7 linked regions of the Macaca fascicularis genome follow. The protein of the gene in region 5 purifies or fractionates together with the protein of the main gene of each other region. This does not show direct contact. Links are inferred from orthologs where the notes say so. Each region holds a gene or a part of one and is shown on either strand. Other genes may lie near its edges.

Region 1 (4,196 bases), about 3.7 Mb from region 5:
AAAAGGAGAAGTGAAGAATGAGAACCTGTACTGCAGGTGTTTCCTTAGGAAGACCAATTTTGGGAAAGTTGAGGTTCTGGAAATTAAATCCCTTACATCTCCCAAGTTCCAGTCCTCGCGGAGGTTTTTTATGTTCCCCATTTTGAAAGCTGTAGACTTTGACGACTGGAGAGAAGTGATGTGGGATTGTTCAATGGACGGGTGTTTGCGATTCTATGACTCAGCGTTAGGGATGTAGTAAATTCTGTGAACCTAGTTAAGCGGCAAGATGCCCACCACTTGTGGAAATGGGAATCTTTGCGATTGGGACCTTGTTAATCTTTCTGGTTTCCTCATAAGCTCACCTCTGGACCCAGCCTTGCCTCCACGACTCCCTCCAACCTCCCTAAACTCAACGAGGTGGGTATCAAGTCTGTTTCTTCATCCTTCATTCTTTTTTAACCTCTCCCAGAAGAGGAGGAGGAAACCCAAAGTATTTTATGAGCCTCATTTCGTTTCACAGCAGCCCTTGCAGAGGCTCAAACTCTCCTCCAAGCCCCACCCCATCATCGCCCATCCGCAGACCCTGGGCCTCCACGACAAAGCACGGCCTCACAGTCAGCACCGACGGCCCTTCGAGGACCCCCTCTGGAGGAGAACCATTCAGGTCCCAACCGTCTGGTCATTAGTTCTGTGGTGAAGCTTGAAAAGCAAATCAGCAACAATAGTAATAATAATAACACTTTTGTATGGCGCATTGTGCTTATTTGTACGCATGTGTTATAACGACTGTGGGACGCAGCACCTGGCAGTAGAAGCAGCTGCTGGACAGCGGCAAGGAGCGCGCCGCCCTTGCAGGGGAAGGGGCTGGGTCAGCCGAATAAGCCGTGGAAATGGGAACCTGGGGGACAGGAAAGCAGGGCCAGATAGCTTGCCAATAGCCTAGTTGAAGATAAAGGTTTTACTTCCCTTTTAAGAGACTTCTGCCATTCCCTGAAACCCTACGCAGCTTTGGAAAGCCCAATTCCTAAACCACCCTGTTCGGTTCCCCTGCCCCTCCTTGGAAAGGAGGCTCCGTTCTCCCCACGCGCTACTCGCCGGCGGTTGGACCCCAGGGAGGAAGTTTCTGATTGGCGGAGTCAGAGAAGCACCGGGTGAAAAGAGCTCCTCCGGCTGCGCACCGAAGTTCTGGCGTAGCCAGCGCCGTACGGCAAAATGGCGGCCCCCAGCTGCTTTGGGACGCCCGGGTTCGGGGAGACAAACTCCGACCTGGAAGACCGCGCTGACTATGTGGGCGGCACTGGAGGTGTTCGCGGGGCGGGCCTACGGCCGCTTCCGGCCACAGGAAGCCTTGTTCCGTACGACAATATGGCGGCGCTTAGTTGCATGCAGGCGGAAACTCTGTTGCTTCCGGTCCGTAGTGGGGCCTGCGGTGGGAGTGGGAAGGAAGGCGGAGGGAACCATGCGAGGTTCTGAGATCTGCGGCGAGGGTCGCCTCGAGAGACGGTTTCTGAGGTGGGGGCCGGATGGTGCGGGGATCAGAGGCGGGGGCGGGGATATCGAGGCAGAGGTATTGGGGAGAGCCGGGCTCTGAGTCTGAGGGGAAAACTGTGGTACCTTCCTATCCCTGAAAGGGAGTGGGGCGGCCGGGGGCTGAACTGGGGGAGGGGGATTTGGCGGGAAGCGCATCTACCGGACCGGCCGGACCCAGGGTTGGGATCTAAGAGGAATCGGGAGAGCGTAGCGCGGTGCGGGGGGACTTCTAATTAGTTACAGGTCTCCGAGAGAATGGGGAAAATTAGGGTGGGGTGAAAGGGAGGGGACTTGGGTAAAATATCTTCAACCTAAAGGCCCAGTTTGAGGAGACTCATCTGAGGGTGAAATACGGAGATAATTCAAGGAGGGGAAAAGAGAACGGACTGTTGGGAGGGAACCTCTTTCACCTCAGAGAGTCTAGGAGTTGGGGTGATCAGGATGGGGCGGGTGTGGGGTTGACTTGTTTGAGGGCAGAGGGGGCAAACACATGAGGTGGCGCCCACAGGAGTGTGTTGTCTGTGCCAGGGGGTGTCAGGACGATTTAGGGTGCAGTGTGGGAGAAAGAACCAACTTGCCAACTCTGAGAAAGAGTGGGGAAATGCAACAGAAAGACCGGAAATCGACGTGAGGGGTGGAGCAGAAGGTGGCAACTTAAGGTGTGGGGGGGTTTGCCCCCCCCACACACCACTTGAAGGGCCCGAAAAGCATATAGAACTAATGGTTATTGAAATCAGGTGGTGAAGACAGTGTTGGTCAGGGCTGAAACCCAAGGAGTTCAGAAAATGCGTGAGGTGAAGGGATGGGGCTATGCTGGAGGGGCTCATTCTGAGGCCCCATCCCCTTCCAGCAGGAATTCTGAAATCCCCACCACTTCCTCCTTCCGGGGGATTTGATTCCCCCATGGCCACCGCTAACAGCATCATTGTGCTGGATGATGATGACGAAGATGAAGCAGCTGCTCAGCCAGGGCCCTCCCACCCACTCCCCAGTACAGCCTCACCAGGGGCAGAAGCCCCTAGCTCTTCTGAGCCTCATGGGGCCAGAGGAAGCAGTAGTTCGGGCGGCAAGAAGTGCTACAAGCTGGAGAATGAGAAGCTGTTCCAAGAGGTGAGCTTTAGCGGGGAAGATCGTTGTACCCCAGGGAGGGGGATGGCTGACTGGCTCTCCTGTCCTTTCTTCCCCACTAACCCCACTCCCCTTTCTCTCAACCCCCTCCCTTGTCTCTCTTCCCCTTCCTTCTTCCCCTGAACCTTCTAGTTCCTTGAACTTTGTAAGACGCAGACAGCGGACCACCCTGAGGTGGTCCCATTCCTCTCTAACCGGCAGCAACGTGCCCACTCTCTGTTTTTGGCCTCGGCGGAGTTCTGCAACATCCTCTCTCGGGTCCTATCTCGGGCCCAGAGCCGGCCATCTAAGCTCTATGTCTACATCAATGAGCTCTGCACTGTTCTCAAGGCCCACTCAGCCAAAAAGAAGCTGAACTTGGCCCCTGCTGCCACCACGTCCAATGAGCCCTCTGGGAATAACCCTCCCACACACCTCTCCTTGGACCCCACAAACGCTGAAAACACTGCCTCTCAGGCCCCAAGGACCCGTGGTTCCCGGCGGCAGATCCAGCGCTTGGAGCAGCTGCTGGCGCTCTATGTGGCAGAGATCCGGCGGCTGCAGGAAAAGGAGTTGGATCTCTCAGAATTGGATGACCCAGACTCCACATACCTGCAGGAGGCACGGTTGAAGCGTAAGCTGATCCGCCTCTTTGGGCGACTATGTGAGCTGAAAGACTGCTCTTCACTGACCGGCCGTGTCATAGAGCAGCGCATCACCTACCGTGGCACCCGCTACCCAGAGGTTAACAGGCGCATTGAGCGGCTCATCAACAAGCCAGGGCCTGATACCTTCCCTGACTATGGGGATGTGCTTCGGGCAGTAGAGAAGGCAGCTGCCCGACACAGCCTTGGCCTCCCCCGACAGCAGCTCCAGCTCATGGCTCAGGATGCCTTCCGAGATGTGGGCATCAGGTTACAGGAACGACGTCACCTCGATCTCATCTACAACTTTGGCTGCCACCTCACAGATGACTATAGGCCAGGTAGGGGGTTAGTGGGATGCCTCTCAGTGACCCTTATATGTCAGGTATGAGGCGGATGGGGCATCTCTCTAGTCCTTTCTAGGGTTTGTACTCTTCTAGTCCCTTCCACGGCTGAGTGCTCTGACTTTATATTTTCCCACGTAGGCATTGACCCTGCACTATCAGATCCTGTGTTGGCCCGGCGCCTTCGGGAAAACCGGAGTTTGGCCATGAGTCGGCTGGATGAGGTCATCTCCAAATATGCAATGTTGCAAGACAAAAGTGAGGAGGGCGAGAGAAAAAAGAGAAGAGCTCGGCTCCAAGGCACCTCTTCCCACTCTGAAGACACCCCCGCCTCCTTGGATTCTGGTGAGGTGTGGATGGGGTAAAGCCTTCAGAGAGACATTGTCCTTCCCCTGCACTGGCCACCAGGGAGTCCAGGTTGACTGATGGGGGAGCATGAGAAGGAATGCAAGAACCAAACCCTCTAGGGCAAGGGATTCCTTAGAGAAACTTCTTTGTCCCCCAGGGCCCTAGTGGAATGGCATCCCAGGGGTGCCCTTCTGCCTCCAAAGCTGAGACAGATGACGAAGAAGATGAAGAGAGTGATGAG
Region 2 (3,500 bases), on a different chromosome or scaffold from region 5:
GATTAGACATAATCTGTTATCATAGAGCCTGTCATTTGATAGGGAAGATACAGGCTGCATTAATTTACCCTCCTCTGTTTACAGAGACACATGATACTAATTTGCCACCTACTGTTCCAGTGCTGCCTAGTGACAGATGACTCATCTGCTGGGCCAGAGGGCTGATCATCGATGCGGGCTGTAGTGACATGGTGTGCTCCATTGAGGGAGTTAACACGGCACCCTGGGAAGTTGGAGACAAGAGCAAAATTAGACAAACTGAGGCAAGAGTCAAGATCCTGTAATTACCTTTTGCAAAGGAAATACCTTAGTTTGTTTAAGAATGTGAAGCAAAAACAAGCTCCCTCAATCTTGCAAATGGCATCATAAACAGTTTCCTAAAAATCTTCTAAATTGCTCTTCCTGAGAGTTTTGTAAGAGCATTAGGGGAAATGATATCTTGGCATTCACTTCACAACAATCCCTGTGTTAAAGCCACTGGTCCCTCCTTTCCCTCCCTTTCCCTTCACTTCCTGTAACTGGAAGCAAGCTAGTCCAGCAGGAGGAGCTATCATAGGAAAAACAAACTGATTATCACTGCCTGTCTAGGGTTACAAAATGCTTTCTTAAAAAAAAAAACTGGAAAAAAAGGCAGTTGATGTTTTCTCCAGTCACAAAACAATGTATTATATTTAATAAGATCAGTACAGTATTTTGTTTAATAATGTTCTATCCAGATAATCGTTTGGTTCAACATCAGGTTGTTAGGATTGAGAGTACATTTCTTCATTCACTCAGTGTTTCTCAGAACTTTAAGTTACACTTTGGTGCCTGGGAGGGAAGACAATTAGGATATGAATAATAATCTGAGTCCAGAATCTTTTATTTCATTTGAAAAAATGTTGGTCATTAAAATCACATTAAATATATTCAAGAAAATAGGAGGGAAAAAAATCGCTTCTAACTCAGCCAGTCTAATACAACCACTGTTAGCAATGTCAGGGTACTACTGCCAGATTCTAGCCTCTGTGTGTTTCTGTACAGGTTCAATCAGAGCGCATCAACAATTTCATATCCTAGGTTTTTGCTCTTAACTTAGCATTCTATTCTAACCATTCACCTAGCTTATTGAAAAATTATCATTATTATCATTTTTTAAATGGTTACACTGATTGTATAAACCAAAATTTAATGAACTCTTTATTTTTGGACTTTTTGCAATCACCTCATTATCTGAGAATGCAAGTATTCTGACATGCTCTGTAACTACTAACATATGTTTTGGTATCACTGTACCTGGCATCCCTTAAATACAACTGTTATTTATTGATAATTAGATAGACAATCTAGGACAGATTTAGGTGTACAGGCACTTTAATTCTGATTTAAATCAGGCAGTGTAAAGCTGGGTGGGGAAGGGTAATGAATCCTCAGATAGCAACCTTCTGCGTACATTCCTAATGTCTCCTCAAAGATGTTAAGCTCAGATACGTGCAGTCTTTTTCTCAAATGTTGCCAAAAAGAAAAAAAGATATAGATGTGGGTCAGAGATAATGTTTGTCCTTAATACATTCTGTTAGATTTTTTTTTTTTTTTAACATGCATCATCAAAAAGCATGTGGTAACACGGAAATGACTCAGAAGCCTAGAAGACGGTGGAGGAGCTTCCTGCTCTTTTTTCTCATTCATTGGCACCATCTGTAATAGGAAGTCCTCAAACTCAAAGTAGATTGATTTCCAAGCATTCCAAAATAGGGTAGCATGGAGTATCAGGGATATAGATTGCTACGGGCATGTGTGGATCAGTGCATGTATATTATGTACACATGTACAGGTAAGTGTGGGTTTGAAGATGTGTCTATGTATGTGCACATGTATAGATCTATATGTATGTGCATATATCACACAAAACATATACATATATCAGAAAGCGCCTCTCCTATGTCATCACCTAAACATGCTTTATCTGCTTCTTAAAAGTCATCTCAGCAATTTCTCATTCAGAACCTGTTATCCCTGGATTGCTATTTCATACACATGGTCTTACGTTGCAGTATCCACTTTAAAAGGTATCCCAAGACAAATTGCTGTCTGAACATAAGGCCAAGAATAGAGTTCTTTTTCTAAGCAACCAAATCTGTTTTTATTTTACACATATTGTGAACCATATTGCTTACCAGGATTCCCATTTTGCATCAGTTACTAGAAAGCTTAGAGCCAAATTTGTGATTTTCTCATGTGAGCATGCAGGTAACTGTGTTGGACATCCTTAGCCTTATTGTAACTTTGTTCTCCATATGTATTTTTCAATTTTCAAACCCTTCTTCCACAAACTAGATATTCCACAAACTAGATCTTATGTGTCTTTGAAAAACACATGAAATACACTATATAATAAGGTAAAGTATAACTCACTCAATAAAAAAAGTGATATATATGAATGCTCACGTGATTAAGAAATCACATTTGTTATTTACCAAATAATGTGCTACCACTTTAGTGTTTATAATCTCCATAGAAAGGATAAGTAACACTGATGAAAATCTTATCTTGGTTTTGAACTTTATATCTGCATTAAACAGAATGTAAAAAATGAGAGCAGTTTTATCCCAAGTACTATTAAAAATGTAGCCTCTCAACTGAATGATCTCTAAAGAGCTGGTATGAATAAGAAAATGGTGCCCTGCCTCAAATATGATACATTTTAAGTTCTTATAGAAAATTTAACTTAATAATCTTCTACCAAGTTGTTTTACGACAAGGATGAGAAGTTTTATAATGAATTTGTACACTCTCGTATTCCATGTTTAAAATTTCCCAAATCCTATACCACCCTTGGCAAATGGTTTTAACCCAGAGAGAATATACACATAACTTACTTGTAAAATACAAAGTCATTAAGATGAAAAACTTACAGGGTGCTGTAGAATATATGGTTGAGGTTGCATCCAAGAAGGACTTTGCACCTAGAAAAGGGAGGATTTTGAAAGAAATATTGATTTTCATTGTAAAGCTTACCTATTTCTTTAGAACTCTTTTTAATCATGTTAAAAATCTACAGAAAGAAAACAAGGAAACAATACTATCAATGATTAAAAAGATTAAGGCAGTTAGAATTCTTGGCAAACTGGTCACTCTGAATAGGATGAAATGATTATTCAGAAACAATTTCTATTTGCCCACTCAAGAAGTAATTGTTGAGTATCAGGCAACAAAGAGAAAAAGGCGAAAAAGACATGGGCCCCACCCCCAAGAAATTTACTATCTATGCAAGGGAGATAAACACAACTCAAATAAAGAGTGAAAAGTGTTAACAATCAAGGTATGAACTAGGTGCTTTAGAATTACACATGAATGACAATTAATTCCAGCACATCTTATTAGAAGTTAACCCTTAAAGTATGTGCTTATTTAATACAAATAACGAAATTCAATTTCTCTTTGATACCTAGGACATTAGTTTTAGAAATCTTGTATTGTGGTCAACAATTTCTAGTTAGTGCAGAAAATAAAAATCTGAA
Region 3 (4,070 bases), on a different chromosome or scaffold from region 5:
CCAGTCCAAAATGTCAACAGCACCAACAGTGAGAAAGCTTCCTTTATATTGATCCCACCATCCTTACTGACAAAATGAAATAGGTCCACAGAATTTAGAGTTTTTCAGTTTGGATGGCTCAAATGACTTTTCCCCACTGTAGCTCTGTGATCCTCCCAACAAAACAAAACAATTTCCTCCTGTACCACTTTTTAAAATTATTTCTAATCATCCGATTCTTGACTTGGTAGGAAAGAAAACAATGAACATATGTTCTAAAGCTTACTATTACAGTGCAGTAACAGTAAAAGACATAAGTTTCATAAATAATTGTACTTATTATCTTTTGTACATCAATATTTCAAATGAGATTTCATTTCTATCAAAAAATAAAAATATTTTTCTCAAGAAATCAACTTCAACTTTTAAACTATTTTTTTCTTACATCTTAAAATTTACCTTTGAAAGAGTTCAGAGTATGCCACCCAAATATATGTCACTCTCCCATTATTTTGAGCTGAAGGCAATTGAGAAGAAGCAGACCTAAAAGAACTCTGCCCTCCCCTGCTTTACCAGAAAGGGCAGGACTATTCTTAATAAGAGAAACCACTCTAGACTCTTAACCCAGAGACAGCACCAGAGGAACCTACATAACCAACCTTGCTAAAACAACACATACCTTCCATTAGTTTCCCCATATATACCTTCCCACAATTTACTGCACCTACAAGTTCAAAGTCCTTTTCCTTTGTCTTGTCATTTTTTAAATAAATTCATTGTTCTTTATTAAGATGCCACATAAGCCCCATGTTTGAGTTACTATCGAGTTTTCCCCTATGTATGCATGATGCATATCTTAATAAGCTTATGTTTTTCTCTTGTTAATATGTTTTTTATCAGTCTAATTTGCAGGGTCCCAGCCAAGGAACCTAAGCTGGGTAGAGGAAAAAGCATTTTCCTAGGGAAAAAGAAAACAAAACAAAAAAGGCAGGGAGAGATAGATAGAAGGAAGAGGAAAGAGGTGAATTTGGTACAGACCTGAATCATTTTATCTACACAGGATACAATTAAGAATGTGAAGTTAAAACAGTAATAACTACTTAAACGTACTCAGAAACATTCTCCCTTTTTTGAGCAAATAATCTTTTTTTAAAAACAATAAGAAATGCTACCAGCTTACCCTTTACTTTTAGAGACCAAACCAAGAGACTGACTGAGTCGATGAATAAAGGCTCTTTCAGTACTGGTCAAAGAAGAAGGAAATTCCATCTCTACATGAGAAAAAAATAAAAGCAGTACAATTTGTAGGTAGGCAATTTTCTCTCAAGTAATACACACAGACATAAAATATGAAAAACATAGACAATCAAATTTATACTTTATGTGAGGTTAACTTACTTTATATTTCATATTCTAAGTTAATAAAATTAATATATTTTATTAATAACTACTGAACGTCTACCAGAATTCTGATATTGATAAAAAGACATCTATGTATTAAACCTAAATGTGATAAAGGCCTCTGATGTTCACCAATAAACGACTCCTCTTACTTGTGCTGGAATTTTGAGTTGGTATAATGACTGAACATATTTAACTTGGTCCCTACTTGTTAACAAAATAAATGATGAGATATGCTCAAACATTATGAATTCTCAACATGAAACTCCATTGTCTTTGCTTTCGAAACTGTATAGAATTCATATTTCACTATTTCAGAGGGATTTGTTATATACTGCTGAGGCTTTCTCTTTTTTTAATGTGAATTCACAATCTCTCTGTCCAGAACATTCCCCATTTTTGACTATAAAGAGTCCAGAGTAAGAGGTCCCCTAATTAAGCCAGCAGGTCCGAATGAGCCCTCAACATACTGTACAGGTCACCACAGGTCAGTTGCTGGTTCTGCACTATATGATCCAAGACAAGCGGCTTTCTAACCTCAGGAGGTGTGGAAGAGGCTTCGTGTGCCAAACAGGTTTAAGTGGGTAGCGTGATTGCTTCAGGGTTCAAACGTATTACCGGTGCACTTACTTATATGTTTGATTTCTTTCTGCTTTTCTACATCTGTAGCTTAAACGTGCCATAATTAAGGTGACAATCCCTTAAAAAAATTTTTTTAAGGGTTAGGGCTAACCAATATCTGAAACACGGTGGCTTAACCGCCCAAGGCTGTTGAAAGACGCGGGGGAAAAAAACACTTGCAGCTAGCGAGCAAAGTGCCCATAACCCCACTAATGCGCAGAGCACCTCGCATTTTACCGCAGGGCTAACAGCCGCGTTCCAGACCCGGGTGCCGCCGCTGAGGCCCGACCCGGACGGTGGCCCGGGTCCTCCCTCCCTCTTCGGAGGCAACCCCATCACTCGGTGGGCCCAGGTTTGGGGGGCGCTGGGGTAAGGGGGTGTCCTGACGGCCAGCAGGGTCCCTGTCGGGAACCTCACCTCTCTGGTCCCCGTATCGGAAGCGCTCCAGCGCGATATTGACTGCGATCTTCACCTCCTCATCAATGCGAATGTCCTTCAGCCCCTTGGCCCGCCCGCCGCCCCCAGGGCCACACGGCGAGGGGCCACCGCCTCCGCCACCGCCAGGAGCCGGCTGCCGCGGGGAGACGCTGCTCGGCCTGGACATTGCCCTGAAGAGATGGTCTCCCCGCACGGGAGCGGCCAGGCCTGCTGGGTGACAGCCAATGACAGAGACCGTGGGACTCCGGGGCCACTACCCGGCGGCTCCGCAGACGGCCTGCGTTGGGCTGAAGTCACCAGAAAGCCCTCAGTCACCACAACAGCAGAAGTGAAACCTGCGCCGTTGATATCACGGCAAGGCGGGGAGCGCGGGCGTAATGACGTCACCAGGGCCGGCGCCCGTGACCTCAGCGCGGCCGCCGCTGCGCGCCTAAGGGAGGCTCTGCCGAGCTGTGGTGCGGTCCTCTTCCCCCGCCGCCCGCCAAGGGTCGCTCCTCGTCTTCTTATTCACTCCCTTGCTATCTCGTTTAGTCCTTCATTAATTCCTGCAGTAAGCATATATGGGCTCCCACTGTGGACCTGGCACTATGCCACGCCTTCGATATACATTGGAGAAGGTTCCTACCTTCATGGAATTTATATTATAGTAGGAGGAGGGTTGCCAGATTTAGCAAATAAAAATACAGAATGCCTAATTAATTTGCATTTCAGATAAACGAATACTTTTTAGTATATATATTTCCCGTGCAACATTTGGAAAAATATCATAAAAAATACATATACTAAAAAATGAGCGACTGTTAGGTGTCTTGCATTCTTCCCTTTTCTGAATGGGAGATTTTAATGCAAGTATGCCACCCTTGCTCTATCACGCTACACAGGGTAGCTGAGTGGGGACAGGTACGTAGTACATATTTACATAGTTCATGAGTTACCTGGCAATAAGGATACACATCTGAATCTAATAAAGAGGACTGTGTATCAACAACAGATCCTGGATGCAGTGACTAGATAGAATTCCAGGTGTCTGGGGAGGATATACGTGTATTCTGTGTGTGGTAAAAAGGGGGTGGAATATTTGGTGACAAGAAGTATGAACTGTGGCATAGAATACTGATACTCATCAAAAAATGTTTCTCCTTTTCTTCCTAGGAGTGATATTTCCCAACTCCCCTGCAGTTAGCTGGGGGCCACATGGCTGAGTTCACATGGCCATTGGAATGTTGCTGGAACTGATGTACACCACTTCCAGGACTGGTCTGTAACACCTTCCTTGAAGTCTCCCTTCTCTGCCTTTCCTGGTCTTCTGGAAGTTCTTAGACAACGGTAGAACCACTAGATAGATAGCAGGTTCCCGATCCCCTGAATGAGTGTGATAGAGTGTCCTCACCAACCCACATTGGAATATGACATGGGTAAGAAATAATCCTTAGTTGTGGTAAACTGCTGAGATTTAGGGAGTTTTTTTTTTTTGTAACAATATGGTAAATTGTTGAATTCATCAAAGGTATGGCTTTGATGAATCACACATTCCCGTGTTCACACCCTTGTATTCTTCCTTCCCATATGGACTCTGTCCTTGGCAATGTAACTTGCTTTGGCCATTGGAACATCAGCAAATATGAGATAAG
Region 4 (2,205 bases), on a different chromosome or scaffold from region 5:
TGAGAGTCACCCTTGTCAATATATGACAGTCTCTTTAGTTTTCAAAAGAATAACAGTAATTAGTGACATATGCGTGGGGGAGTGAGGGAAGAAGCCTTACCTTAAGGACCAGATCCCTGGCTTCCATGAGAAGTCTGTGCCCAGCTTTTGTTCCATTCTCCACCAGTACCTATTCACAAAAGGGAAAAATATGAAGACTTAAATTACATGAAAGTGTAAATGTCAGTAGCTCTGTAAAAGCATTATAGATGGAAAAGGGGTCCTAAAAAGAAATACGCATTATATATCAGGATGGAGACCCTCAAAGAGGGATAAAGAAACCCATAAAGGAGAAAAATGGTGAAGAATGAAGACAACGAGAGAAGCAAAGGCATGAAATCCATGAAGCTGCTTTAAGACTTAAGGAGAACAAGGAATTTTAACTCACCAGGAAATGACCTGTCTTACGCCATAAGGTTTGAACCACCTCAGTGCGGTCAGCCCTGCTGGGCAGTTCACTTAAGGAAAAGGCTGATACTACTACATCAAACTGCACCTGAGGACCAAGACAAAGAACATGACACACTCAACATCTCTGCATCCCAAGAATATAATAAAGTCCTAGCTGATAAATTTCTTTTATCTTCTGACACTCAGTGCTGGGCTGCAAAGCTCAAGCCATAGTTTTCCATCTGCCACATTCCACATTTAGAATATTCTAAACACTGCCACTTGCCTTGGGTGATACAGGTAGAAACTGTCTGAAAAAGACACCTGGAATATAAGGCTCCCCAGATTCTGAACCACCTGTGGAGAAAAGAAGAGGCAACTTTGAGTGTGTAGGAAGTTAGGTATAAACTGAAGAGATATCCAGATAAGAAACATGGCCCCAAGAATAGGGAAAGTGTCTATCAAAAAGGGCAGGGATGAGCCAGATATGGTGGTGCATGCCTGTAATCCCAGCTACCCCAGAGGATGAAGTGGGAGGATGGCTTGAGGCCAGGAGTTTGAGACCAGCCTGGGTAACAGGTTCTAATTAAAAACAAACAAAAAACAAAACAAAAAAAAAAAACGGCAGGGAGAATATTAGGCCTCTTGTCCTTTGAATCTTACCCAACCCATCCTCAGTCCAGCAGAAACCTCTAATACCGCCCTTTGCTTGACCATAACTTTAAAAGTAAACCAGATTCATCTTAATTTTTACCCTCTTCTCTACTTCCCAGTAAAACACTTTTACTAGTACCCCTTTGCTTTCTGAACTCCCTCAACTTTGGAAATGCTCTTGTACTCACCTTTCAGTAGTTTTTCTGCCAAAGCCAGCATGGCAGTTGATTTGTCCACACACATATATTCACGTAGGCTCTGGCCCCAAATACTGTTAGCAGCCCTAAGATGGCAAAATTATTATAAATCACCAATTCCCATGACCAAGAGTCATCTCTACAAGAGACCCATTTACACCCAACCCCACCCCTGGGAAAAGAGAGTGTTATGTTAAAATAGTTGTCTAGTTAGTAATAAAATAACTAATAGTGTTATTTTCTTGTTTTATTTACAATTGTTTTTAAAAAAAGGTAGACTCAGCTGGGTGCAGGGGCTCATGCTTGTAATCCCAGCACTTTGGGAGGCGGAGGCAGGAGAATCACTTGAACCCGGGAGTGGAGGCTGCAGTGAGCCGAGATCGTGTCACTGCACTCCAGCCTGGGTGACAGAGCGAGACACCATCTCCAAAAAGAGAAAAATAAAGGTAGACTCAAAATACTATTTGTAGGCAAAAAAACTTTGATTGATAATTCCTTTTCTTTTTAATTTTTCTAAACATGCGCCTTTTTTTCACTTGACATTTCTTTAAGTTCTGGCCCCAATCCATATACCTTCTTCTGCCTTGCCCAATCTGATGGAAGAAACATTATAGATTCCCAACTTGCCTATTCTCCCTCTGGTTTTCCAGTCTCTTAATTTTTGAGTGGTGTAAGTATGGCTTTCTAGAGCTAAAATTGACCAAGACAGGGCTGAAAAAAGTTACTCACCAGGTGACAGAACCAGTACCCGAGCCAAAGTCCATCAAAGTTTGTGGCTGAAATGCTGGATTTCGAGCCCGGATCTGAAGAAATATACAACATCCCACAGCAGAGTAATTAGATACTTATTTAGGACCTTGATAAATATGAATTAGGAGCCTATCACAGAGGATGTGAGATGTGAATGCTTTTTGAGATTCAATAT
Region 5 (4,151 bases):
GCACCACGCCTGGCCCCTGAATTTGACTTTAGACACCTCAGATAAGCAGAATCATACACTATGTCTTTACTGAACATAAAGTCCTCAAAGTTCATCCATGTTGTAGTATGTGACAGCATTTTCTTCCTTTTAAGGCTGAATAATAATCCATTGTATGTACACGCCACATTTTGTTTATTCTTCCATCAGTGAACATGTGGGCTGCTTCCACCTCTTTGTTATTGTGAATACTGCTGCTATGAACATGAGTCTGCAAATATGTCAAGACCCTGCTTTCCATTTTTTTTTTTTTTTGCTATATACCTGGAAGCAGGAGTTCTGGGGTAGTTCTATTTTTAATTTTTTTTGTCATACATACATATTTTTAATTGCTTAAGAGGAATCTCTTCATATTGTTTTATATAGTAGTTTCACCATTTTATAATCCCAGCAGCAGTACACAAGAGTTCTAATTTCAAAGTGGTATATTTTTATCTTGCATTTACTTGACGATTAATGATATTGAGTACTTGTTGATTTAGACTTTTAGTTCATTTAGAGCTCCATTTTAATAAGGTGTCCTTTTTTTTTTTTTTTTTTGATCGATTTTTCAAATGGCTTGTCTGGAAGAATCCTTTATATATTATAGATAAAGGATCTTTATTGGTTATATTTGTTGCAAATATCTTCTATTGTATAGCTTCCTGTTAATTTCTTAATGGCGTTATTTGGCAAGTTTATATTTTCTTTTCTTTCTTTCTTTTTTTTTTTTTGAGACAGTCTCACTCTGTCACCCAGGCTAGAGTGCAGTGGTGCGATCTCGGCTAACTGCAACGTCCGCCTCCAGGTTCAAGCAATTCTCCTGCCTCAGCCTCCTGAGTAGCTGGGATTACAGGCGCACACCACCACATCCGGCTAATTTTTGTATTTTTTAGTAGAGATAGGGGTTTCACTATGTTGGTCAGTCTAGTCTTGAACTCCTGACCTCGTGATTCGCCCGCCTCGGCCTCCCAAAGTGCTGGGATTACAGGTGTGAGCCACTGCACCTGGCCGCAAATTTATATTTTCTAATGGAGTTCAATTTATCAATCTTTCCTTTATGGTTAGTGTGTATACCTACATTTCTTGTCTGTTTAAGAACTCTTAGCTACTCTTAGAAAATACATTTACTTTCTAGAATAATTATTCTCTTACCTTTTATACTTAGATCTACAGTCCATTATACAATATGATTATGACTACAAGGTGAAATTCCATTTTTTAACATGAATATCCAATTGATCCAATATCATTTATTGAAAAGACCAACTTTCCAGTTCCATCTTCATCATAAATGAAGTGTCCACACATGTATGGGCCTGTTATTGGACTCTTCGGGACATAAGTCCTGTTGACTTATGTGTATCATTGTGTCCAAACTGCATCGTTGTAACTACTGTAGCTTTATAGTAAGTCTTTTTTCCTTCTTGTTTTTATAGACAGGATCTCACTATGTTGCCCAAGTGGCCTCAAAAACTCCTGGGCTCAAAGGATCCTCCTACCTCAGCCTCCTGAGTAGCTGGGACCACAGGCATATGCCACCATGCCCAGCTTACAAATCTTGATATTCATAGTACGCACTCCCACTTCAAGATTGTTTTGACAGTCTCTCACCTTGATATTTTGCATTTCCCTATAATACTGTGTATTTCCACAAAAACATTATGGGTGTTCTGACTTGGAATGCATGAAGTCTATACATCAATTTGGGAAGAAGTGACATTTTTACAACATTGAGTTTTTCAGCCAGCAAATATACAACTTCTCTCCATTCATTTAGGGATGGAATCCCTGACCTTTTGATTTTTAAGTCCTTCCTGGGTTTTATCCCCTCCCTTGCCGTCTTATCCGCGACCTAATACAAGGATCAGGGCCCCTTCCTCCTCACCTGACTTAGGGTCGCCAGGTTTTCCATTGGCCATGGGGGGAGGGCCCAGAAGGCTGGGTGGTCCTAAGAGCAGACATGAAAATATGGTCATCAGAATGGATTAAAGGACTGATGATTCTGTTCTTAGGCGTTTTTCTTGTATTACTCATTTCTTAATTCAACCAGTAAAGTCAGGTATATTTTCAGCAGTCTTAGGAGTTCTCACCCCATCTATCTGCTCTTTTTTCTGCAAAGCTGTTTCAGGGTTTGCAAAAAGTAGATATTCAATCAAAGGCGATAATGCAGGAAAAGATACAACTTTTTCTTTTCCTCACCGTACCGTCGCTATCCAAAACAACCTAAGTGTCTCCAGACATAAACCAATCCCTCACCTTAACTGCTGGCCAGTCAGTTCTCTTCTCCTTTCACTCGGCCAGAGGACTAGTTTAGAGAAAGCGGCACCTGTACCTTTTCAGTCAAAATCCGGATACAAACTGTCAACCCAGTCATCGCAATCTGCAACATCTCTACTGCCCCTTTCCCCTACTGTTCTGCGGCTGCGCAAAAGAGCTCTTTACTCTCTCCACCCCCGCGTTCCAGAAAGGTTTGGGGCCGTATTGAGGTTGACGGTTCCAGTAAGAGAACTCCTGGTTCAAGGCTCCATTTGGGACAGCCCTGCTGCCATCCCTACCCAGCGCGTGCGCCCTTCCTCCTTCCGTTAGAGCCCCTTCCTTCGCACCTTATTAGCCCCTAGCCCTTCGCCCGGACGGGCTTGACAGGCATGTGCACATCCCTCCCTGACCCCTCACCGATGGGACTCCCATCCTCCTCATCTCCAGTCTCTTCCCGCTCGGGCAGTGGGGGTTGCTGCTGTGTCGGTGGCTGGTGCTGATTCTGCTTCTTTCGTTTCGGCATCGTGGCTGCGGCAATGGCTGCAGCGGGATTTGGAGGGTAGTGAGGAAGGGGCACGCGGGGATTCTGTTTCCGCTTCCGGGGGGTCGGTGGGCAGCAATGCCCAAGCTCCCACCATTCCACTTCCGGAAGGTTGCGGAGAACATCTGTGGCGGCCGCATTCTGGAGTAAACTGCCTCTCTCCGTCTCTGCCAGGCATGGCGGCAACCTCACACCTTCCCTTTGCTGCGTTTCTATAAATGCTTTGAAAAAATTCCGCTCTTCTTCCCTCGCTGGAAAACACCACAACCAGCTCCTCAGAGTGTGTCACAGAGTCAACAGGCTCTCGGGCCAGAAGGCCTGAGAAGAGGACTGTCGCACCGTAAGATCGCCACATCCGGTCCTCGGTTACTATGGTAACAGCTGCAGGCACAACTTTGTGCCCTTTGACCTCCCTCCAAAAGCCCTTGTCCCGCCTGGGTTTCGCTTCTCGCCCGCTTTTGCACTTCTGATCTGTAAACCTGCTCCTTATCATCGTTCCCACAAGGAATTTGGGTCCCAGCAGGTCGGCAGCCAGGACTCTTCAGACCGCCGCCCTCCCCTAAAGACCTCTGACCGTGCCCCCGGTGTAGCCCAGCAACCTGGCTTCATTCCCGGGACGCACCGTCTCGGCTTTCCACTAAGGTCAAGCCTGGGGGTTGGGAGTGTAGCCTCAGCGAGTCCACTCCTCCTCTCCCCTAGGTAATAGGCCCCGCCCTCCGCTCCGCCGCCCCCTCCAGGTGAGTGGTAGCTTCTCCCGGGAGCGCAAGGTAGTGATGACACGCGCTCCCCCCTCCTCCGAACGCGAGTTGGTAGCGTCCGTGACGGAGTTAGCCTGGTCCTCCCACGCGCGCCTCCTTCCTCGCCGCCGGGGTGCTCTCTCCGTGCCACTGGCTCTCACGTGCCAGTAGCCCACCCCGCATCATCCTTTCGCCTCGCTCCTGGAGGGAAGTGACTGTGTATCTCCCCTGTCCGCCTTCCATCGCCGCCGCGGCGGCAATTCGGTCGGGCCCGCCCGCTGACGTCACCTGCTAGCTCCGCCTCCTCTAGGGTCCCGGGCCCCTGCGGCGGGGACTGCCCCGGGGGGCAGTCAGTTGAGGCGGCAGGAGCTCGGCGGAGGGCGGGCCAGGTGACTGGTCCGGGCCATGCCGAGGAAGAAGCCCTTCAGCGTGAAGCAAAAGAAGAAGCAGTTGCAGGACAAACGGGAGCGGAAGAGAGGTCAGTGCGGGAGCTGGAGGAGGAGGCGGGGCTCGGGCTTCCGCACAGCTGGAAGGAGGGGTGTGCCCGCTGCACCTCTGGGGGTCGTGGGAGGGGGTCGTGGGACCGCGCCAACCCT
Region 6 (4,141 bases), on a different chromosome or scaffold from region 5:
GCCTGCCACGAGTACAGTCATGGAGAAATGACTGCACACTAAGCATAGGTATTATTTTCTCTATTTTACCATTAGGGGAACTGAGGCTCAGGGAGGGTTTTGTTTTGTTTTGTTTTTTTGAGACAGGGTCTCACTCAGGTTGTTTAGGCTGGAGTACAGTGGCAGGATCTCAGCTTATTGCAGCTGCCATCTCCTGAGCTCAAGTGATTCTCCCATCTCAGCCACCCGAGCAGCTGGGACTACAGGCATGTGCTACTATGCCCAGCTTGTGTGTGTGTGTGTGTGTGTGTGTGTGTGTGTGTGTGTGTGTTTCTTTTGTTTTGTTTTTTTAAGTAAAGATAGGGTTTTGCCATGTTGCCCAGGCTGGTTTTGAACTCCTGGACTCAAGCAATCCTCCCACCTCGGCCTCCCAAAGTCCTAGCGATTACAGGCATGAGCTACCATGCCCGGCCTCAGGGAAGGTTTTGTTGTTGTTGTTTTTCCAGAGATGGGGTCTATTTTGCCCAGGCTGGTCTCGAACTCCTGGGGTCAAGTGATCCTCCTGCCTTGGCCTCCTAAAGTGCTGGGATTACAGGCGTGAGTCACTGTGCCCAGCGTCAGGGAGGTGTCATGCTTTGCCTGGTATCACACCATTTGTACTTGAGGATTTGAACCCAGAGTCATCAGCTTCCTCCTCTTCACTGTACCTGTATCCACCTCTACGATCTCAAACCTTCCTATGGAAAATGTGTCAGCATATCCCAAAGCAGCTGTTTCCCCACCATAGATGGATGCCTGTACTCCTAGCTTCCTATCACCCCTACCACTTACTTCCCAGATGCTCGGACAACCTGAAGCTCCTGCTCCCCGAGCCCCAGGGACTGGCTCAGCTCTGGCAGCACTGACAACAACGTCAGCTCTCCTGATTTTCCTGGAAAGTAAGAAAGAAAAATTACAAGAGGCCAAAGCTTCACGCCTTCACTTTTCCCTCCCCAGACACAAAACCCCCTTCTGCTGCATTCCCTTCCCACATACCCGGCCTGTACCTGTCACTGGTAGACCCTGTGGCTTGTTCAACATCACTAGAGGTCCTGAAACATACATCACATGAACATCAGCAAAAGCAACAGTAACCCTTTATGCAGCACTTAAGAATTTCCAGAGCACTTTCTCACACATCTTAGCACATGGCCCCATCATGACTCTCAGACGTGACTTATCTACCGCACACCAAACTGAACTGCTTTCTGTTCCTCTGCCACCTCAGAGCCTTGGCACTTACTGTTTCCTCTGTCCCCAAATTTCCCAGGTCTGGCTCCCTATCACCTTGGCTCAAATGTCACATCACAGAGAGGTCTGAATCTCCAATCCAACGTCTGCCCTCTTCCTACAGTTCCTCACCATTAGAACATCCTGTTTCAGTTTATGCATAGCACTTATCACTAGTAACTTGTTCATTTATTTTCTGACACCCATTTCTCCCATTAGAGAGAAATCCATTTCTCCCTTGAGAGCGGAAACCATATCTATCTTTTTCAGCACTGTATACCTGCCTAGAACAGTGCCTGGAACACAGCATATGTTTAAGAAATAGTTGAGAAAAGAAATAAATCACTGAATGGAGAGTGGGGTTCAGAGAAATTCAGTTATTTTCCTAAAGCCACACAGCAAGCTGATCACAGAGCCTAGATGTCTGACTCAAAGCCTGTGTTTTGTCTATCAATAAACAATAATTTGTTGTCGTTTTTTTAGACTGAGTCTTGCTCTGTTGCCCCAGGCTGGAACACAGTAGCACGACCTCGGCTCACTGCAACCTCTGCTATCCGGGTTCAAGTGACTCTCCTGCCTCAGCCTCCCCAGTAGCTGGGATTACAGGCGGACGCCACCACACCTGGCTAATTTTTGTATTTTTAGTAGAGACGGGGTTTCACCATGTTGGCCAGGCTAGTCTCGAACTCCTGACCTCAGGTGATCCGCCCGCGTCAGCCTCCTAAAGTGCTGGGATTACAGGCGTGAGCCACCGCGGCCAATAAACAATAATCTAGTATAGCAACTCCTGTAACTGAGCGCCGGCTATGTGCAAGGCTTGATAGTTATTTGCATCCTCTCCCCACTCTTAACCCTACTGCATCATGGCAGTAAGGTTAAAAGCGGGGAGAGGGTGCAAATTAGGTGGCTCGTCCCAGCTCATGCTGCTAGTGGGAGGCAGAAGCAGGGCTGATCCCGTGGCTTCACTCCGCGGCAGTCCCCTCCCGATCCCTGTGCGGCCGTGCCTCTCACCCCTCACCTTTCCGGTCCACCACGGCTGCCCGCAGCGCATCAACCAACTCCTCCCGACTGAGGTTTTTTGGCAGCAGCCCCGGGAAGGGCTGGTCTCCGAGGGGCCCCGACCGTAGGCGGGAGCCGCGGGGTTGCCTGTGATGCCTGGACAACGAGGGAGAAGCAATGGGAGTCATTCCGTCCCGAGGTGCCGCCCATTCCTATCTCCCGACGCCTCTTCCCAAAACCTGCGGCCTCTGACAAATGCCTCACAATGTCTAGGCTGACCTCGAAAATTCAGGTAGACCGGTCCCATCCTACAGTCGAGGGCACCGAGGCTGAGAGAGGCCAAGGGGCTGTTTTCGGGTAACATCTACCTGATGCAGATCCCGCACGTGCCTTCCCGCTGCCCTAGCCTCCGTCCCGCATGAGGGAGGGGGTACTTAATCACCGGGCTTCGATGCCAAAGCCTGCGTCCTCGGGCGCTGTGCTTACAGCCAGGCCCCACCGCCAGCCACTCCAGATCGGACCCAAAACACGGCGGCCGTCCATCTCCCGAGTCAGTACAGTGCGCATGTGCTTTCAGAGGAGCAGCGCCACGCTCCCGCCAGCGCGCTGATTGGTCAGCTTGAGTGTCAATCGGAATGGTGACGAGGCGGGACTCAGAGCCGGAGGAGGCGGGCTTTTCCTCCTCCCAGGAAGGAAATACAGCATTGCGGGCCTGTGCTTTTAGGGAGAGCTCAGGCAGACGAATTTGATCTGTTAAGAAAATGTGTCTTGGTCGGGCGCGGTGGCTCATGCCTGTAATCCCAGCACTTTGGGAAGCCGAGGAAGGCAGATCACAAAGTCAGGAGATCAAGACCATCCTGGCTAACACGGTGAAACCCCATCTCTACTAAAAATACAAAAAATTAGCCGGTCATGGTGGTGGGCACCTGTAGTCTCAGCTACTTGGGAGGCTGCTGCAGGAGAATGGCGTGAACCCAGGAGGCGGAGCTTGCAGTGAGCTGAGATCCGGCCACTGCAGTCCTGCCTGGGGGACAGTGCAAGACTCCATCTCAATAAATAAATAAAATAAAATATACAGAGTCCTCCTTTTTCAGCAGTGAGTAACTCAAGGCCTTGGTGGTTTTGGAGGACAACTGCAGCTAAGGAGTCAATTTGGGCCTAAAGGACTGATAAAGTTTATGATACGTCTGTCATGCTAGCAAAGAAGTCATTAGAAACACTACAGAAGGTCGTGACAGAGGTTGAAATGCCTGCTATTCCAGTACCAAGAGCAATAGTGGAGGCAGAAAGTCCCAAATTGACAAGCAAGGGAATTAGTGGAATAACTCTTCTTTGTCGTGTCGGTGTCATGAGGAGAATAGGAAGCTCTTCGGTCCCATTTGCAAATTGAATTTTGGGAGTAAGGAAAACTAGTGTGCATATTCCTGTCCAATTAGCAGGTAGACACATGTAAGTGGAGGAGCCACAGAGGAAGAAGAGACCTTGTGCAAGGCAAACTGGAAATGCAAAGTAAAAAGATGAGATGGAGTACTGTAGCAGGACAAGCCATAGACAAAACTCCTCACACACCGAGTTAAAGAAGGAAGGGGTTTATTCGGCCGGGGGCATTAGCAAGACTCCTGTCTCAAGAGCCGAGTTCTCTGAGTGGGCAATTCCTGTCCCTTTTCAGGGGTCATAACTCTAAAGGGGTGCATGTGAGAGGGTCATGATCAATTGAGTAAGCAGGGGGTACGTGACTGGGGGGCTGCATGCACCGGTAATTAGATCGGAACAAAACAGGATAGGAATTTTCACAGTACTTTTCTATACAATATCTGTAATCTATAGATAACATAACGGATTACGTCAGGGGTGAATCTTTAACTACCAGGCCCAGGGTGTGGCGCTGGGCTGT
Region 7 (3,500 bases), on a different chromosome or scaffold from region 5:
GCCTGGGAGACCCAGGTGACGCGGAAGGAGGACACGCCGGTGACGCGGTCGTAGTAACGCTTCTTGACCTTCCCACAGTCCACCACGTACTTGATGCCAGGGATTGTAAGAGACGTCTCGGCAACGTTGGTGGCCACAACACACAACCGAGTCCCCTCCGGTGGAGGCTTAAAGACCTAGGATTCAGGGAGGGGATGGCAGGAAAACACCAGAATCAGGAACGAAATCGTAGAATGGAGGTCCAAGGACAGAGCCACCCAGGCTGGTGTGCTGGAGAGGTAGCAAGGACAAGCCACCCCATCTGGGACCCAGTGCCTTGCAGGACTGTTCCCTGTTCTCCAAAACTACCTCAATATTCCTCAAAACTCTGGGGATGCTGGTCAAACAGCAGATGGAGAGGACCAAGGGCTTGACTAACCTCACTGCAATGTCCTTAAAAGTGCCCCAAAAGCTGGGCACCGGCCCAGCACGGTTACCTGTGCTTGCTTCTCTGGGGCCAGCAGAGAGTACAGCGGGAGCACGTGGAGTGGGAGGGAGGCGTCCGGCTGCTCACCTGGAGGGAAAGCAGACGTTACTGGCAACCGGGCCGGGACAGATGCCCACAGGCAGGAGCCAGCCACAGCTGCCCTGCACCCGTAGGCTGCTCCACCAGAACTCCTTTCTTTGCCCTGCTGAGGAGGCTTCCCTTGGAACCAGCCAGGCCAAACCTGGGGGGACTGCTGAGAGGTTCCCAGGGGCTCTCTGGTCTCTACTGCCCTGAGTCGGATCTGAACCCCTGCTGTGCTGCATAATCTCCTCCTCTAAATCCCTGGCATGGATCCTGGGGGCCTGACTCTGCTCCTCGTGTCCTGGCAGCACTGTGGTAGGCTCAGGCTGAGCCAGTACTGGGGTACCCTCTGCTGCCCCACTCAGCCCCTGGCTGACAGCAGGGCACTGGGTCCATCTACATTCAGGGGTTCCTGCGAGCACACGGAGCGGGGCAACACCCCTGGGCCCTGGAGACCCGCACCTGTCAGCAAAGGGGTTGGCAGCCCCATTACATCCAGCACGGCAAATGTTCCAGGCCTCCTCGTGCCCGGCACTTTCAAAGAACTCAGGAAGCATCGAGGACAAAGCTGCTAGAACCCCGGCCCCCAGGGGGCCACAAGGGCTCTGGGCACAGCCTCAGGGCAGAGCTAATGCACGTGAGCAGGAAGCGGGGCTAGGAACACACCTCCATCTTGCCCGCCATCCCCCAAGTCCAGATCGAGGTCGGAGTCCAGGGCCCCCTCTTCCTCGTCCACTTCCGCCTCCCTGTCCTCATCGCCTTCGCCTGCCGGCAACACTGAGTAATGATCCAAGTTGATCTGGGGCAGCACCTACGGCGAACACATAGACACCCGGGTTGCAGGGACCCTGGGTGTGAGGATGAGGCATGTGCAGGAAGACAGGTGCCCTCATGTGGAAGCCCCAGTCCACACCCACGGGCCGTGTGACCCGGGGCAGGCCACATAACTATCTCTTCCTGTCTGAGTGTCCCCACCTAAACAATGGGGACTATCACAGACCTTGTCTCTCAGGCTGGTGGGAGGGTTGTGTGAACACATGTGAAGAACTTGGATCACTGCCTGACACATCAGTAGTGCAACAGGCAAGTTGGAGACGGCTGAGCGTTTACGCTACTGTCACGGACCGCAAGACCCACGGTGCCTTCATGCAGAGGCTAGAGGAAAGCACCTCCCAGCCCAGCCAACCCAGAGTAGCTGGGAGTACAGGCGCATATCACCATGCCTGGCTAATTTTGTATTTTTAGTAGAGACGGGGTTTCGCCATGTTGGTCAAGCTAGACTTGAACTCCTGACCTCAGGTGATCCACCTGCCTCAGTCTCCCAAAGTGCTGGGATTACAGGCATAGCCACCACGCCTGGCCTTCTTTTCCTTTTCAGAGACAGAGTCTCACTCTGTTGCCCAGGCTGGAGTGCAGTGGGGCCATCACGGCTCACTGCAGCCTTGACCTCCTGGGCTCAGATGGTTCTCCCACTTCAGCCTCTGAGCAGCTGGGCCCACAGGCATGTGCCACCACACTGGATTAATTTTAAAAATTTTTTGTAGAGACAGGGTCTCACCATGTTGCCCAGGCTGGTCTCAAACTCTAGGCCTTAAACGATCCTCCCACCTTGGCCTCCCAAAGTGCTGGAATTACAGGCATGAGCCACTGCGCCCGACCAGGAACTGGATTTTTAATTTCATTTTATTCCAATTACACTTAAACCTAAGCAGCCACATGGTGCTGGTGGCTGCTATCCTGGACAACGTAGCCTTACTCTCCAGGAGTCCCTGCCAGCCCCCCACGTACCTCGGTCCGCGCCTTCTTGGCCCTGGCCCTCGACTTCTTAAACTTCCGCATTTCCTGCGCTGAGTCTTTCTGATCATCGTCCTTTTCTGGAAAAGGGGCAGGTTGGAGAGAAAGGCGTGTGTGGCACGCATGGTCGCTAGCACACTGCTCTTTGTTGTTCAAGGCACGGCCATTTATTCGGGGGTGAGGTGGGGGACGGCAAAGGTGCTGACGCTCCCAGAGGGAAGCTCAGAGGCGGGAGCTGCACCCCAGCCAGGGAGCGTGAGGCCAGGCCCAGCTGCTCAGGGCAGAGCGCGGGTCGGGGAGTCCTCTTTACCTTGTGGCCGGGCTCTGGAGGGTGGGAAAGCCTTCCTGAGCCTGCGGCACAGCGCGTGCACCTCAGCCTGCCCCGTCAGGAACACCAGGATGCCGCCTGCGGAAAGAACGGGCCTCTCTGTTATCCATCAGTCACTCACAAACATTTGCTTAGCAATGGGCACCTGCCAGGCCCTGCTCTGAGAGGCGGGGCTCCAGGGATAATGCGGGAGGACAGGGGTACACAGACATAGACGAGCAGGAGGCAGCACCCCCAGACTGAAGGAGCTGTTGCCAGGGAGTTCAACAAACACAGCGACCACACAGCCCAGCAACGCCACTCCCAGGCACAGACCCAAAAGCCCTGAGAAATGTGCTCAAGTGAAAACCTGCACACCACACTTGTGACAGCGCCGTGGCTGCCCTGAGACCCGAGGCTGCAGGAAGGCTCACTGCCCAAGCTTCCGCCTCGCCTCCCGCCAGCCCCAGTCTCCCAGAGAACGGATGGGAGCCCCGAGAGGCTGTAAGCAGACCAAGGACAGAGCATCATGAAGCAGCGACCTCAGCTTCCTTGAAGGAGGAGTTCAAGCTTGGTGGGAAGCACCCCCACGGCTCCCTGCCTCCCTAACATGAAGAAAGTCAGCCTTGGGCCCGAATTCGGCACACAAGAGTCTCTGATTAGGCTGGGCGCGGTGGCTCACACCTGTAATTCCAGCACTTTGGGAGGCTGAGGCAGGCAGATCACCTGAGGTCAGGAGTTCGAGACCAGCCTGGCCAACATGATGAAACCCCATCTCTACTAAAATACAAAAAATTAGCCGGGCGTGGCAGTGTGCACCTGTAATCTCAACTCCTTGGGAGGCTGAGGCAG

What was found.
Region 1: the proteins of PRR3 (region 5) and DAXX purify together in Homo sapiens (co-immunoprecipitation; 3 studies listed by BioGRID and IntAct, with this or other methods). This does not show direct contact. The link is inferred for Macaca fascicularis from reciprocal best matches to the Homo sapiens genes PRR3 and DAXX.
Region 2: the proteins of PRR3 (region 5) and RBMS1 purify together in Homo sapiens (co-immunoprecipitation; 3 studies listed by BioGRID and IntAct, with this or other methods). This does not show direct contact. The link is inferred for Macaca fascicularis from reciprocal best matches to the Homo sapiens genes PRR3 and RBMS1.
Region 3: the proteins of PRR3 (region 5) and YTHDC2 purify together in Homo sapiens (co-immunoprecipitation; 3 studies listed by BioGRID and IntAct, with this or other methods). This does not show direct contact. The link is inferred for Macaca fascicularis from reciprocal best matches to the Homo sapiens genes PRR3 and YTHDC2.
Region 4: the proteins of PRR3 (region 5) and METTL17 purify together in Homo sapiens (co-immunoprecipitation; 3 studies listed by BioGRID and IntAct, with this or other methods). This does not show direct contact. The link is inferred for Macaca fascicularis from reciprocal best matches to the Homo sapiens genes PRR3 and METTL17.
Region 6: the proteins of PRR3 (region 5) and RPUSD3 purify together in Homo sapiens (co-immunoprecipitation; 3 studies listed by BioGRID and IntAct, with this or other methods). This does not show direct contact. The link is inferred for Macaca fascicularis from reciprocal best matches to the Homo sapiens genes PRR3 and RPUSD3.
Region 7: the proteins of PRR3 (region 5) and DHX37 purify together in Homo sapiens (co-immunoprecipitation; 3 studies listed by BioGRID and IntAct, with this or other methods). This does not show direct contact. The link is inferred for Macaca fascicularis from reciprocal best matches to the Homo sapiens genes PRR3 and DHX37.

The regions. Positions count from the first base shown.
Region 1 is NC_088378.1:138,379,511-138,383,706, forward strand, and holds the start of DAXX (death domain-associated protein 6), read left to right. Parts: upstream 1-1,396; 5' UTR 1,397-1,441; coding exon 1,442-1,494; intron 1,495-2,362; exon of another isoform or gene 2,363-2,415; coding exon of another isoform or gene 2,416-2,432; coding exon 2,433-2,622; intron 2,623-2,772; coding exon 2,773-3,604; intron 3,605-3,748; coding exon 3,749-3,957; intron 3,958-4,112; coding exon 4,113-4,196. UniProt on the Homo sapiens protein: Transcription corepressor known to repress transcriptional potential of several sumoylated transcription factors. Down-regulates basal and activated transcription.
Region 2 is NC_088386.1:55,711,549-55,715,048, forward strand, and holds part of RBMS1 (RNA-binding motif, single-stranded-interacting protein 1), read right to left. Parts: intron 2,946-3,500; coding exon 2,895-2,945; intron 224-2,894; coding exon 113-223; intron 1-112.
Region 3 is NC_088380.1:120,064,737-120,068,806, reverse strand, and holds the start of YTHDC2 (3'-5' RNA helicase YTHDC2), read right to left. Parts: upstream 2,801-4,070; 5' UTR 2,606-2,800; coding exon 2,419-2,605; intron 1,251-2,418; coding exon 1,160-1,250; intron 1-1,159. UniProt on the Homo sapiens protein: 3'-5' RNA helicase that plays a key role in the male and female germline by promoting transition from mitotic to meiotic divisions in stem cells.
Region 4 is NC_088381.1:88,659,367-88,661,571, reverse strand, and holds part of METTL17 (ribosome assembly protein METTL17, mitochondrial), read right to left. Parts: intron 2,084-2,205; coding exon 2,010-2,083; intron 1,367-2,009; coding exon 1,272-1,366; intron 787-1,271; coding exon 716-786; intron 536-715; coding exon 428-535; intron 170-427; coding exon 101-169; intron 1-100. UniProt on the Homo sapiens protein: Mitochondrial ribosome (mitoribosome) assembly factor. Binds at the interface of the head and body domains of the mitochondrial small ribosomal subunit (mt-SSU), occluding the mRNA channel and preventing compaction of the head domain towards the body.
Region 5 is NC_088378.1:142,096,965-142,101,115, forward strand, and holds the start of PRR3 (proline-rich protein 3), read right to left. Parts: upstream 2,801-4,151; coding exon 2,695-2,800; intron 2,434-2,694; exon of another isoform or gene 2,278-2,433; intron 1,970-2,277; coding exon 1,907-1,969; intron 1-1,906. Other genes in the region: GNL1 (guanine nucleotide-binding protein-like 1), read left to right, coding at 3,961-4,033.
Region 6 is NC_088376.1:148,112,921-148,117,061, forward strand, and holds the start of RPUSD3 (mitochondrial mRNA pseudouridine synthase RPUSD3), read right to left. Parts: upstream 2,801-4,141; 5' UTR 2,791-2,800; coding exon 2,690-2,790; exon of another isoform or gene 2,612-2,689; coding exon of another isoform or gene 2,527-2,611; intron 2,404-2,526; coding exon 2,267-2,403; intron 1,071-2,266; coding exon 1,026-1,070; coding exon of another isoform or gene 1,015-1,025; intron 911-1,014; coding exon 811-910; intron 1-810. UniProt on the Homo sapiens protein: Catalyzes uridine to pseudouridine isomerization (pseudouridylation) of specific mitochondrial mRNAs (mt-mRNAs), a post-transcriptional modification necessary for their translation.
Region 7 is NC_088385.1:132,122,749-132,126,248, forward strand, and holds part of DHX37 (probable ATP-dependent RNA helicase DHX37), read right to left. Parts: intron 2,748-3,500; coding exon 2,652-2,747; intron 2,422-2,651; coding exon 2,336-2,421; intron 1,359-2,335; coding exon 1,214-1,358; intron 554-1,213; coding exon 477-553; intron 177-476; coding exon 1-176. UniProt on the Homo sapiens protein: ATP-binding RNA helicase that plays a role in maturation of the small ribosomal subunit in ribosome biogenesis. Required for the release of the U3 snoRNP from pre-ribosomal particles.